2 linked regions of the Tamandua tetradactyla genome follow. The protein of the gene in region 1 purifies or fractionates together with the protein of each later gene. This does not show direct contact. Links are inferred from orthologs where the notes say so. Each region holds a gene or a part of one and is shown in the gene's direction. Other genes may lie near its edges.

Region 1 (7,166 bases):
GTTACAAGATTCAAACCTGCTAGGTATTCATTAGTGAGGATTAATATCAATATTCCCTAAGGAAACTTTAAGAATCTACTTTGAGACTTTATAAATGTCAAAACAGAGAAAGCGAAACCAAAAAACCTGAAGTACAGTGAGGGGTAGAGAGGGAGAGACACGGAGGAGAAGGAGAAGGGGGTGGGACTGGGGGGTAGAGAGAGAGAGGAGAAAGAGTTTATTATTTTCAATGTCCACATTATCTCACATTTAGACAGGTAGCTGCTAATACAAACCAAGCCAAATTGTTCAAACAATCAAGGAATTGGTATTGCTTTGGGTTCTTACATAATTCAAATGAAACAAACTAAAAAAACAAACAAACAAACAACTTACAGAAAGTACCACAAACTGCTACCATACACACACCCACACATATGCAAATAGTATATACACAGACATATACCCCATAAAAACAAGGAAATGGAACTAATCTCTCCTAATCAAACATAGTTTAAAATATTAATGAAACTATAAATATTTACTAATACAAAAAACTTTAAATCATTACTATAAGGGCCAGTAAATGCTATATAAGCTTGAACAGCTATACACAGGTCAAATTTCAAAAAACAAATTGTCACATACTAAATGGAAACGATATATATGAAAGTTCTTTGCTAAAGCCTCATACTCTGTGAGAACATTTTAAGCCAGATTAGCACATCTACAGTTTATAAAATTCTAACATCAAGTTTTGCTTCTATTCTTTACAAGTAACAGCAAACAGGCCTGCAAAGCAATCCTAAAAAAAAATTAAATAAAAACAAAGAAATGAGAAACTAAAGCTTCTCTATTAAAATATTACAATTAGTTCAGAAAATAACATATAATTCAAAAGGCAACAATGAAGGTATGTGCAGCATTGAAAACTGTTCATAGTGTTTATTTTTTCTAAATGTTTTGATATTTTAATAAGTTCAACCCAGTCTAACAAATTTTATTTGCACAAGGTAATGGGAAAGCAAGATACTAACTTCTTCACTTTTTGCAATTGACTTCAGGTTCAAAGGTATATTTCACTTCTGTGGCATTAAAGTACTTGATTTATACAGTAGCCTTAAATTTGCTACTTACTTAAACATAGCAGGCACTGACATATCCCAAAAAGGATGAAGTTTGAGGGTTTTAAAAGAAAGTGGGGGTAAAAAAGCTGAGGTTTTCATTTCTGATGGTATAAATCTATAATCAAGAGCTTTATTTGTACAGGAACTTTAATGAATCAGTCTCTCTTAATCACATGTAGTAAGCTATTTCTAATGAAACAAACTGTCAGTTATTAAATGCATACCAGTTATACTTTTTTTTAAAATTTTTAATGCAAAGTGACAGTTGGGCACCAAAGAGTATATATTTTCGACTTAGAAGAAAAATACATGTGAAAAATAAATATACAGACTTTAAAGCATATGATTTCACTATCTTTCTGCTGCCAAACTTTGATAGGCCTCATACAGGACAGAAAGGAAAGGGCACACTTAACAATATCTACTGAACTCTTTTGCAATAGCAATGATGACTCTGACCCAAAGAATTATGTGCAGGAGGATAACCTGCAAAAAGAGAATAAGCAGTTAGAAGATACAAAGATGTTGAAAATTACTCGAAGTCATATAAGGTCAATGAGGGGTGGGCAGAGGAGCAAGGCATTCATAATAAAAAAAAAAAGTTTTAAGAGAATATTCAGCAAAAAGCTGGGTTGTCAGAATATCAGAGGACCCTGATGCAAAACTACAAAACTGATTCTAAGAGAAGGAAATCATTTACTCACCATACTATAACAGCTACTTAATTTTTTTAAGTCTCCTAATTCTGCTGCTATTTTATGCACAGAAGAATCCTATGTTTGGAAATTACACAAATTGCATGGAAAAAAACGCACCTTTTAATATACTTTGCAATTAAATATATCGATCAACCAGCACACTTTTTTTTCCAATGGGCAGGCACCAGGAATCGAACCCCAGCACACCTTCTTTATGAACAGAATAAGTGAATAATTTCTTTTCTCCCTTTTGCATGAATAAGTGCATGTTTAATCAAAGTTGTTTTCTTTTAACTTTTCAGCGTGAAATCTGTTTACACACACAGTAAAGCATGACAAATCTACATTTAAAATAAAACATCAAAAGGAATTTCTGTTTGGGCGGGCAACAGTGGCTCAGTGGCAGAGTTCTCGGCTGCCATGCCGGAGACCCAGGTTCGATTCCCACAGCCTGCCCAAGTAAAAAAAAAAAAAGGAATTTCTGGTTATCACTAAAAGTTTATTATGAAAACCTTACAGACATTTCAATAATTAAGGATTAAAATCAATCTGTGTTTTCCCAATGCATTCTGAACAAATCAAAATTCTTTTAAAGAAAATTTTTAACATGTTTGTACAGTTATCTCTAATATAAAACAACAGCATATAATGAATTGTGTTAGGAATACAATATTTTAGCTGAAACACCCTTTCAGAGAGTTTCCCCAGCTTTTACTATGTTATACACCTAAAAAAATGTTTTGTAAATCACAGTCTCCACCCACCCTCTCAGTCATTTACTTCAATGCCACTCCCAGTTACTATCATACTAGCAAGAAGCCTAAGACATGCAACTTCAGTGGCATGGATAAATGACAAAAAATGTCTAGAAAATTGGATTGTTCAGCTTTATAATTTTTGTTGAAAAATGCCCCATCACTTACAACTGATGAAATCAGGAAGCCCTATTCATAAGTATAAAAATCATTGATATATAATCATCCTAATAAGAAAATGAAAATGAGTTCTATACATATGTCCAAACGGGCAAAAAACATCTCAAATATGTTTTCAATTTTTTTCAGGATCAAAATTAGCAAACTGAGATGACTAGCATACTCTGTCTGTGTGCATTATTTTTTACTACATACCTTTTTGTAATTTATTTCAAAGCTTCCATTATAAACAAAAAATACATTTTCCATTAACCCACTCCATCCTGAACTTACACAATCTAAATTACAACATATTTTATTTAATATGTTTATAAGGTATTTAAGATGTCTTATCAAAGACTCTGTCAAAGTTAATAGCCAAATAAACTATTTAAAGAATTATACAACTGAACACATTTCCTTGAAAGTTAAGAATTATTACAATCATAAAGGAAAAGAAGACATCCACTAAACTGCTGTAATTCTTGCCATTCATTTGTATAAGACCCTCAAACTAGTCATAACATAAAAGTTATACATTATAAAAGATATAAAAAATACTTTAAATCTTTATTGTAGGACCTGCTATCTAACACTGATAATACATAAACTAGAGACATGATTTAATATTTGTACAAGAATCCCCAGACTAACACTTTCATGACAGCCAATTACAGTCCAGCCCAACAAGCAGTTTGCCACCAGACCTTAAGGTAAATTTTTTTACAATGAATTACAGGTTCACAAGTTTAAAAAGACAAGAAAAAGAAAAACAGAAGAACTCTAGCCATCCAGCAAATATGAAGCAGACCCCAGAACGTGATACAACCCAAAGATGTAAATTACTGTAAATCATCACTGTTGTTCAGAATTTCACACAGCCACTTGACCCAATTTTGCTCATTTTTCCATAGACACAATAATGAACTAAAAGAAAGAGGCAAAAGAAAAAAAAAAAGGAGGGGGGGAATGGGGGTGGTGACAGAAAGGAAAGACCTTAACTGCAGACTTCAGTTCTACAAATGCTTAACCTTCAGGAGTTTGGGCTCCTTCAGCATTTGTATTCTATCCAAATCCTCATGAGTCACAAAAATTAAAAAGCTATATCCTTTTGGATGCCAGGAAGGGCCTTACCACAAGCCTTTTGTCAGAGAAAGAGAGAGAGAGAGAGAGGGAGAGCAAGAGCAAGGGGGAAAAGCCACAGTGGTAGGCAGTCCCACTTTACTTTGAGTACTGTGAGGTCACAAACCACATGATTCTGTCTCTCCAGTAATAGTGCTTGGAAAAAAAGGAGTTTTAAAGCTTTTGCTTTTTTGGATTGTGTGAATGCTTCATTCGCCTCACAAACAACCACAGAACCACAAGTGCGGTGCAAACTTTCTCCAGGAGGACAGCAAGAAGTCTCTGGTTTTTAAATGGTTAATCTCCGCAGGTCACTACCAGCCACCGAGACCAACAGAGTCAGTGAGTGCTCTCTAACCACAGTCTATGCAGTAATAGTAGGTCCTTCAAATATTTGCTCATTCTTTTTGTTTTGTTTCCCTGCTTTTCACATGTTACCAGCTACATAATTTTTTGACAGAAAAAAATAAATATAAAGTCTATGTACTCCAGGCATATTGTAAAACTAAAACAAGGTTTGGGTATGGTTTGTATTTCCAGTTTAAGGCTGCAAGCAGTATTAACAACAGAGGGTACAAGTTCTATCTGAAAAAAAAGGAGGGACTATGGCATCAAACAGCCTCTTCAGCACAGTGACACCATGTCAGCAAAACTTCTTTTGGGGTAAGTGTTATCATTTTTAAAATCCTATAAGAGATGAACCTGTTAAACATAAATGTATGTTTCTTAGATAAATTGCTAGCTTTTCAGGATAACAGTATATTAAAGATATTAACAATAATACTATTCTGTTGAAGTAAAAAATTGAAAATGAAATTGATGTACATATTTGTATATGGCATCTGTATTCTCTGAATAACTTGAAATGGACAAAAATTAATCATTTTTTATTAATCAAAATGTTTTGGGGGCTATAGAAATAAGAATGCTAAAACAGTAAAAGAAACAGCTTAATATTCTCATTTAACCCTCTCTGCAATAAAATGAAGCACGAAATTAATCAAAGTATTATAAATTATTGACTCCAGAAGCTCGCAATATTTGAGCAAAAACTTCAAAATGGAAGCAATCTTACAAAATAACCGAGCACAGATTTATCCCAACATTATGCTCTACTATGTAAAACAGAGAAAGAAATAAACGTACAATACAGTCAGTATTTGAACCAGCTCAACTAAAAGAACTCTATTTATAATTTTAAACTGAGTAAGATATCTGCACAAGTTTGTTTCTAAACAACTATATAACTGAACCATACATTCAATGAAAATAAAATTGCACTAAGTATATCATAGCCATTTTTAAAAGCTCTTTATAGTTGCCTAGGATATTAAGTTTACAGAAGTCTCTAAAAACTAAAATGGAACTGTATTTTCCTATATAATTTTAATTTTACATTTACACTGTTATCCATACGTAGAATTGTTATAAACACATAGCAAATACTGAAACTTCTAAGATTCTTTTAGTAACATTCTTAGACCTACCAAAATGAATAGCATTTTATTTCATGAAAAATAAAGCTCTATAAGAATACTCTGCATGATTTTAAAGAGCCATGCTTATTAATTTTGCTGGACTTTTAAAAGAAAACAGAAACAATACAGTCTCTTAATTAATTTCAAGTTAGTATTGATATAGATAAGTAAACTACTCCAACCTTCACTAGTTGACATAGTATCACAGCAAAATAGCTAAACACTTACAATGTTTTCTTTATGATGTCCAACATGTTCCAAATACAAAGCAAGTTTTGAAAATATCCTGTTTATCCTTTAAAACAAATCCTTTTGCTGTGTATACCTCTGTAACTTACAACTATTGATTGGAGTTTCCTTTACTCCTCCTCCTCCACACATTTTAACTGGCTAATACTTGAGAATCAGTCTTAGTTTAGGTCAAATAGAAATAATTAAACCTGAAGGGGGGGGAGTTTCACTTAAGGGATGAGGAAATATACTCTATATTTTGCAAAAAAAATCTAAAATTATTGTAGTGGCTCCCTCAATAGCTGTAAGCGAGCTCCCTCAGCAATATAATAATCACAGATTGTTTTTAAAACTTCATGGTGGGTAATTAAGCATTAGTCTAAAAATTTCTGAGTTAAGAAAGTACAACAAATATAACTAGACTGTATTATACCCCATATTATAATTACAGCTTATGCATGCGAACTTTTGCTGTTACTACCTAAGAGATGAGGAAAAAAAGCTGTTTAAAATGATTGTTAGTAGAGGGATAACTTGAACAGGTACATTAAGCAGTTAAGTTACTCTTTAACAATATTACTCTTTTGCAAAAATACATTTCTAACCAGATGAGGAAATAACACAAGCTTGAAGGAAATACTTTAGCATTGGAAGTAAAGCTATTAATATTGGCACAAACGGTATGTTAAAATGCTCCTTATTTGATCATATCAGAGGTTTTATATTTCCCTGATGTCCTTAATAACCATTTCTAGTTAAGATTTCTGAAACTTGACCAAGTTTCTATACAAGGAATAATTGTGAAATAAGCAGATAAAAATCACCTTCTATTGCATGTCATATTTTTAATTAGACATTATAACTAATTCTTCCTCTTCTGAAAAGTGGATTTCACACCCTCCTAACCCCTAAACCCCTCCATAGCATCTTAGAGCCTAAACAGAGAACTTAATATGAGCCCCCTACTTCAACCTAATTACAGGTGGGCAGTGGACAGCGTATCTATGTTATCATCATACTGCAAATATTTCCTCATTCTATAGTCTAATCAAAGTCTAAAACATCACTCAGGCTTTAAATTCTAAAATGAGGATTATAAGCACCAACTAATGCAGTATCCGAAGTATGTGCCCCAAACTTGTGGAATAGCTAAAAAGAAAGTTAAAGGCTTTCCTAGGTGAGGAACAAACCACATGTTAACTGACTGTCTCTCCTCAAATATGAGTGAAAAATGTGTGTGTGTGCGTGTGTGTGTTTGTATGTGTATGAAAGAGAGTGATTCTGTCTCAGTGTTCTTTTCAGAATACCATTTGCCTTGAATTAATCAAGAAATTTTCAAAATCTGTACTCAAAATCTTTTTTCATAAATAAAGCATGTTGAAAATTACAGATGTGACTCATGAAGCATCATATAAATAAAAATTTATTTATGAAAATACAACGGCTAACTGATTAAATTTCTACATGAAACTTTTGCAACTGACCTGAGCAAATGACTGAATATAATGTATGAACCCCAATTTCCAAAACAATAGTTATGGTCCATATAATGATAATTTTACAGTTTCAAGCTCTAATAGTGACAAAGTATCCTAATTGACTTGTAAAATAAGACAG
Region 2 (7,391 bases), on another chromosome or scaffold:
ACAAATATGTGATGCTATTGTGAGCCATTGATTGCACACCATGTATAGACTGTATGTGTGTGAAGATTTGTCAATAAAAATATTTGTTAAAAAAATAACCCTTCCCCAATGGCTTCTAAGTGTTCAAGTGAAAGGAAGAGTCCCGCATCTCTTAATTTAAATGAAAAGCTAGAAATGATTAAGCTTAGTAAGGAAGGCGTGTTGAAAGCTGAAACAGGTTAAAAGCTAGGTTTCTTGTGTCAAACAGTTAGCCAAGTTGTGAATGCAAAGGAAAAGTTCTTGAAGGAAATTAAAAGTGCTACTCCAGTGAACACATGAATGATAAGAAAGTGAAACAGTCATTACTGATGTGGAGAAAGTTTTAGCAATCTGGATAGAAGATCAAACTAGCTATAACATTTTTTTAAGTCAAAATCTAACCCAGAGCAAGGCCCTAACCTCTTCAATTTTAGGAAGGCTGAGAGAGGTGAGAAAACTGTAGAAGAGACGTTTGAAGTTAGCAGAGGTTGGTTCATGAGGTTTAAGGAATGAAGCTGTTTCTGCAACATCAAAGTGCAAGGTAAAAAGCAGCAAGTGCTTATTTAGAGCCTACAGCAAGTTATCCAGAAGATCTAGCTAAGATCACTGAGGAAGGTGGCTACACTAAACCACACATTTTCAATGTAGATGAAACAGCCTTCTATTGGAAGAAGATGCCATCAAGGGCTTTCATAGTTAGAGAGAAGAATTCAATGGCTGGTTTCAAAGTTTCATAGGACAGGCTGACTCTCTTGTTAGGGGCTAATGTTAAATTGAAGCCAGTGCTCATTGACCATTCTGAAAATCCTAGCAGCTTTAAGAATTATGTTAAATCTACTCTGCCAGTGCTCTATAAATGGAAGAACAAAGCCTGGATGATACCACATCTGTTTACAACATGAATTACTGAATATCTTAAGCCTACTGTTGAGACCTATTGCTTAGGAAAAAAATATTCCTTTCAAAATAGTACTGCTCATTGAAAATGCCCCTGGTCATCCAAGAGCTTTGATGGAGATGCCCAATGAGATGAATGCTTTCATGCCTGCTAACATAACATCTGTCTGTAGTCCATGGATTTAGGAGTCATTTTGATTTTTAAGTCCTTATTATTTAAGAAATACATTTCATAAGGCTATAGCTGCTATAGATAGGGACTGTGCTGATGGATCTGGGCAAAGGCCACCAAAAACCTCCTGGAAAGGATTCACCATTCTGGATGCCATTAAGAACATTTGCGATTCATGGGAGGAGGTCAAAATATCAACAAGAACAGGAGTTTGGAAGAAGTTGATTCCAACCTTTAGGGATGACTTTGAGGGATTCAAGATTTCAGTGGAGGAAGTAACTGCAGATGCTGTGGAAACAGCAAGAGAACTAGAGTTAGAAGTGGTGCTTGAAGATGCTGTGTGTTGATTGCTCCACTGACTGGCTCTTCCCCCACCTCCCTCCCTCACATCAGGCCTCCTCATTCCCTAAAATGCAACAATCTTGAAATTAGATGTTAATAATCCTTCAATGAATAGAAGTGGTCAATGAGAGGGAGCAGTAAGGGGTATGGGCTGTTTGAGTTTTTTCTCTTTTCTTTTTATTTCTTTTTCTGGACTGATTGCACATGTTCTAAAAATGATCAATACACAATACAAATATGTGTATTCATCTAAATTGTGACTAAATCGCTACACTCTCATGATGAAACTTGAACAGATGAAACGTTGCTTCTTATGGATGAGCAACGAAAGTGGTTCTTGAGATGGAACCTACCCTGGGTGAAGATGCTGAGAACATGGTTGAAATGAAAACAAAAGATTTAGAATATTACATAAGCTTAGAGCCAAGATTTGAGAAGATTGATTCCCATTTTGAAAGAAGTTCTGTGGGCAAAATACTGTCAAACGCTGTCATAGGCTATAAAGAAATCTTGTGAAAGGAAGAGTCAGTCGATACAACAAACTTTATTGTTGCCTGTTTTAAGAAATTCTACAGCCACTCCATTCGTCAGCAACCACCCTGAGCAGTCAACAGCCATCAACATCAAGGCAAGACCTTCCATCAGCAAAAAGATTACAACTTGCTAAAGGCTCAGATGACGGTTAGTACTTTTTAGCTATAAAGTATTTTTTAGTTATACTATGCACAGTTTTTTTTTTTAGACAAAATACAATTGCACACTTACTAGACCAAAGTATTGTGTGAACATAACTTCGAATGCACTGAGAAAACAAAATATTCATGTGACTTGCTTTATTGTGATAATCGCTTTATTGTAGTCGTCTGAACTGAAATCGCAGCATCTCTGAGGTTTGCCTATATACAACCCACATTTAGGTTTTCATAATTGTCCCAATAATGTACCTTTTAAAAAGGTACCTGGGTTTTTATTACCATTTAAAGAAAAAAAACTGTGCAAAGGGCAAAGTCAAATTTCCTAGCATGCATAATATTAATAGTTATTATTTGGGCCCATTAGCACTATGCCATGAAAGGTCAGTATAGGTTAAAAAAAATCATTAGCTTTAAAAAGTCATTTTATAAATTTTCCCCCAATCCAGGATCCAATCAAGGATGGTACACTGTATTAGTTGTCATGTCTTTTTTTTTTAAAAAACAGCTTTATTGAAATACAATTCACATAACATGATTTACCCATTTAAAGGGTAAAGTCCAATGGCTTTTAGTGTATTTACAGACTTGTGCATCCATATATTTTTATCACCCCTAAAATAAACCCCATACCCTTTAGCTATCACTTCCCAAGCCTCTAACCCACCGGCCTTAGGCAACCACCAGTGTACTTTCTGTTGCTATAAACATGTCAATTTTGCACATTTCATATGAACAGAATTATACACCATGTGGTCTTGTGAGTGGCTTATTTTACTTAGCATGTTCCCAAGGTTCATCCATTTTGCAGAATGCATCCATACGTCATTCCTTTTTACGGCTGAATAATATTCCATTGCATAGATATACCACTATTTATTTATCAAAGAAGGGTTTTGAGTGAGCCCAGGAGTGAGCTGATCTGACAAGGACATAATAATGTTCACTTTGGTTGTTCTTCCAGTGAGCAGAGGGATCAGCTCTACTGATAGAGAGAATAATTCCTACTGATAGGGAAAATAAGAGGAGGTCCAATAATTGCCTAGTAATACTTTAACAAAGAAAGGAATTTAATATTCTGATACATAATTTATAAACAGCATTTTACAAGCTTTATGGAATTTGTTGCATTTCCTTTGAATAATTAAAAATGGAATGCAGAAATAATAAGTAACTAAGAATTAAGAATTGAAAATGAATTTAAAAATAATTAAAAACTTTGTAAGGGTACACGAGCAATAGAAGACTACCATTAATTTATGATGCTTGTTGTATTTCCTTTATATTACGAAGGTGGTAACAATTCTTTTGGTCCATGTGAAATTATTCAGAATAATTATTCTCATCTAAGCATAACTCAACATTCTGGTAATTACCCAAAATTTCATGGCAGCATCCAGAGAGTTTGCCAAAAGAAAAACTGACTTACGAAATGCTATTTTCAATGTCTATGCAGATAAAGACGATAAGAACTTCTTTATTTTTGTTTTTGGGGTTAGCGTCAACTAAAAGATTTTCAAAGTGACCATTTAGCGTTTAGAACTCTTTTGTGGCATCTGTCATTATTTGGAGCAACGAAGTTACCTATTCCAATCATTGGATCTCCAATTGGCACAAAACGTTTGATTTAGGGTTTGATGTAAGCACATGGATAGTTACTTGGCTCTTCAGTTCTGGGTACAGTGCAACTTCTAGGGGCCAGCAAATCACTAGGGAGTGAGAGAAGGGCTGTGAAAAATGTCTGGAAAGACTTGTCAAAAATGCTGTCCACGTTTTAGAGCAGCTCGGTGGGCGCGGTTGGATGGGTTAATGCACATTTGAGAAAGTAAACACAGGGAGTACCGAACTTCACTTGCAGCTAATGCCCCACGTCCGCTCCACCAGGACTGAAGGAGGCAGGTTAGGAAGGCCCTGCAGGATACACTGTTTTCTCTCCCAGGAATAACGGGGGCGTGCGGCTGGGGGCGGAGTAAGTCGCTCCGACTGCTCCCCAGCCGCGTCCGCGGGCCCGGGAGGCGCTGCGCTCGCGTGGGGCTCGGCGGGGAATTTGGAGAGGATCCCTGGTCGCTCGGCGGCAGCGGCGGCGGTGGCGCGCGGGTGCGCGTGTGAGCGAGTGAGCGAGCGAGCGGGCAGGCGGGCGAGTTCGCCGGGTATTGGCAGCCGAGGGGTGGAGGCTGGGCGGCTCCGACTCCCTGACGCCAGCGCGACCAGATCAATCCAGGCTCCGCGAACGAGCGGGCGGAGGAAGGAGAGGCCGAGCTGCCCAGCCCAGGCCGAGGCGCTCGCTGGGAGGGAGCCTGCGTGCGGAGCGCGGCGCAGAGCCCGGCCGGCCGGCCCGGGGCCGCGGGGATCCCGTTCGTCCGGCCACTCGTGCGCCCGCGACAACGGGCGCGCCGCCAACTCGGTAAAACGAAACAGACCCGGACCCAACTTTTCTCTTTACCGCGTCCCCGCCCTCCTCTCTGCGCCCTGGGCTTTCTCAGCGCGGCCGCCGCCTCTGCGGCAACAGGCGCGGGCCCTCCGGGGCCACTGCGGTCGTGCGGGGCCGGCGGCGCGGGCTGAGGAGTCCGAGGGGCTCTTCCCGGCGTGGGGCGGACCGGGGAAGCCTGCTCCTCTCTCCTCCCATGATGGCGCCTCCTGGCCGCTCTCAGGAGCTAACCTGCCACCTCCTCTTCCCTTCGCGCCCAGCCGGCGGGGCAGGGTTCGCCTGGGGTTCACCTCGCGTCTTTGTTGGGTCTGCGGTGGGGAAACCGCTGTTCTTCGGCCCCCCTGCATCGCCGCCGGCCCTGCAAGTCCTCTGCGGGCGCCCTCCCCCTGCGCCTGCTCCCGGTTTCTCTTTCCCTTTCTGCAACCGGGCCGAGGCCGTCCGCGCGGCCCGCGGGCCCATTGTGTCCCGCGCCGGCCGGGGCGACCCGTGCGGGAGTTTGGGGACAGACGCCGGCGTTGCCCTTTACGCATTGGGCGCCTCGCGGAGCGGGTCTGGAGGGGGAGGACACCCGGTGCTCCCGGCTCCTCCGCATCCCGGACGTGTTGCCTCCTCTGCCCCTACAAGCCACTTTGGGGTCGAGGTCAAGGAAAGTTCGCACCGACGTTCCCTCGGATTTATTCAGAGGTTTGGCGGCGCGTGAATTTTCTTTCTCTCTCTCTTTTTTTTTCTCTTCCGCCTACACCCCCTGAGTCTTCAAGTGTCGTCTCATTCCTTTCCCTTTACCGGATTCGATTGCCTCACTGCATGTGAATTTGTGAGTTCGTTGTTGAACAACTGTTCATTTTCTCTGCTCCCTGTCTTTGTTAGCATTTCTCGGGATTGTTTCTGTAGGGTGGTGGGGGTGGTAGGTGTGAGAGAGACAGACGTGGGCTTGTTTTTCTAGTTGCTTATTATATATGAAGGCTTAAAGGGAGAGCGTTTCTTTGCTGTACTTAGGGAAGGGAGGAGGAACGAATGCCTGCCGAATGCTACTGCTGCAGTCGCTGCGGCTTTTGTTTATTTGGAGGCGCATGCGATTTTTAAATACACTGTGCAAGATAACCAGTGAGCACTTCCATCTGAAAATTGTGGTCGGTCTCAGAATCGTATCCTGAGGAAAGCTTCATTTTCGTGAGTGCTGTGACAACCAGCCTTTTCTTTCCACTCGTGTTCTTTGCTTTCCATTGTGTATGAAGTTTCAGAGTACGTGGAATGACATAGAAGTTGCCTGATGGGAAGTTGTCTTCCTTTTGCCGAGACTCAGCTGCTAAACCACAGAATGCCTTTATTTCATCTCTTGTTCTAATCGTCGTGGGTAACGCTTCAGTAAGACAGTGAGAAAACTGTTTTCTGCCTGTGTTGATTTTTCGTCTTGTTTATAATGACCACTTTAAATTTTAATGGAGGTAGGTGAGCTATGGTGGAATCACTGGTTAAAGGAATCGAGGCAGAACCAAAGTTTTGCTTCAGCGTTTGACATGCCCCAGCAGTTTCGACGGGTGTAAATGTGTTTGCATCAGTGTTGTGTTATTCTAGTGCAAGACCTAAATATCCTGTAGTGATTGAAGTTTTTGTCCTCCCTCGCCCTCCTTCTTTTCCATTTGCAGTTATTTGATATTTCTGTGCAGGCAGTGACCATTTGTGTGATATTGCAATTCTTGGGAAACTGTAACCAGGGTTGTGAGATGATTTTCTGGAGGTGGGTGATCCTCTAGAGGCTCCAGATGGTATCGGGTTTCCTCTGAGGGTAGGGATTTGTCCTTGATTTAGTTTTGACCCCTCTGACCATAGGTATGTAACTAAATACATTTTTCCTTTTGCAGTGTTCTTTGGTTTTATACCCTCGAAGAGCTGATGACTTTTGCATTTTAGAGAAGTGACACATTTTAGGCAATTAAAAACGTTAATGTCTTAACGCTTTTTGGAATTCAAATAATTTTTTTTTACAAGGACCAGATAAAACGTTAAATAAGTCTTATTTTCCTAAATGCATTTATTAGTTAAAAATTAAATTTCAGTTTCTAATTTTGATTTCTAGTAATTCGGGGTTAAAAATAAAATTTAATAACTTGGTAGATTGGAAAAGGAATAAACTTGAGTCTACTTAGAAGAGCATGTTTAAGCTGCAGTAGTCTACATAATCAAGGCCAAGTCATGTGTGTACAAAAGATCTCATTTGTGTAGTCTTAAAGGCTAATGGAGGCATCATTGAGGCTTTATAAATAATGTAAGTTGTGTATAATGTAGAGTCTCAAGAGACAGCAGAGAAAGCATCATTACCAGCCTTTTCAACCTGCTTGAGATCTTAAATTGATTTACAGCACTGAACTGGTGCAAAATGATACATCAGAATGACATGGGGTCAGCCTGTAAAAGTCTATGATGTCAGCCTATTAGTTCAGTCATCATAATTAAACCGTATTACAGGGGCAGCTAAGCAGGAGTCTGGCATTATACTTCAGATATGGGTGGTACGTGAATTTTGTTTATAGTGAAAAGGCCTACGTGACCAAGACATTAGTGTTTCTGAAATAGGGAAAGGCTTACAGAACTCTTGAGTTTCTGAAAAAAATTGAAGATAAAAGCAGAGATGTTCAGTTTGTAGTGTAGCTTTGCATTTGTAAAGGTAAATGTAGCTTTACATTTGGCAGTAAAGAAATGCTTTGAGGGTGCTGGTAACCGTCTTTGCCGCTCTGATCTCTGTGCTGAATTGTGCTTCATGTGAGCTTGAATTTAACTTGGCCTCGGGGACCTTCTAAAATAATACCACATACTTCTTATCTATGATCCTTTTATTAGCTCT

The links.
Region 2: the proteins of RUNX2 (region 1) and SMAD1 purify together in Homo sapiens (affinity purification with western blotting; 3 studies listed by BioGRID). This does not show direct contact. The link is inferred for Tamandua tetradactyla from reciprocal best matches to the Homo sapiens genes RUNX2 and SMAD1.

What each region holds. Positions count from the first base shown.
Region 1 is NC_135331.1:103,056,418-103,063,583, forward strand, and holds the start of RUNX2 (runt-related transcription factor 2), read left to right. Parts: upstream 1-4,065; 5' UTR 4,066-4,178; exon of another isoform or gene 4,179-4,217; intron 4,218-4,380; 5' UTR 4,381-4,445; coding exon 4,446-4,503; intron 4,504-7,166. UniProt on the Homo sapiens protein: Transcription factor involved in osteoblastic differentiation and skeletal morphogenesis. Essential for the maturation of osteoblasts and both intramembranous and endochondral ossification.
Region 2 is NC_135348.1:22,612,555-22,619,945, reverse strand, and holds the start of SMAD1 (mothers against decapentaplegic homolog 1), read left to right. Parts: upstream 1-4,249; 5' UTR 4,250-4,525; intron 4,526-5,036; exon of another isoform or gene 5,037-5,719; intron 5,720-7,391. UniProt on the Homo sapiens protein: Transcriptional modulator that plays a role in various cellular processes, including embryonic development, cell differentiation, and tissue homeostasis.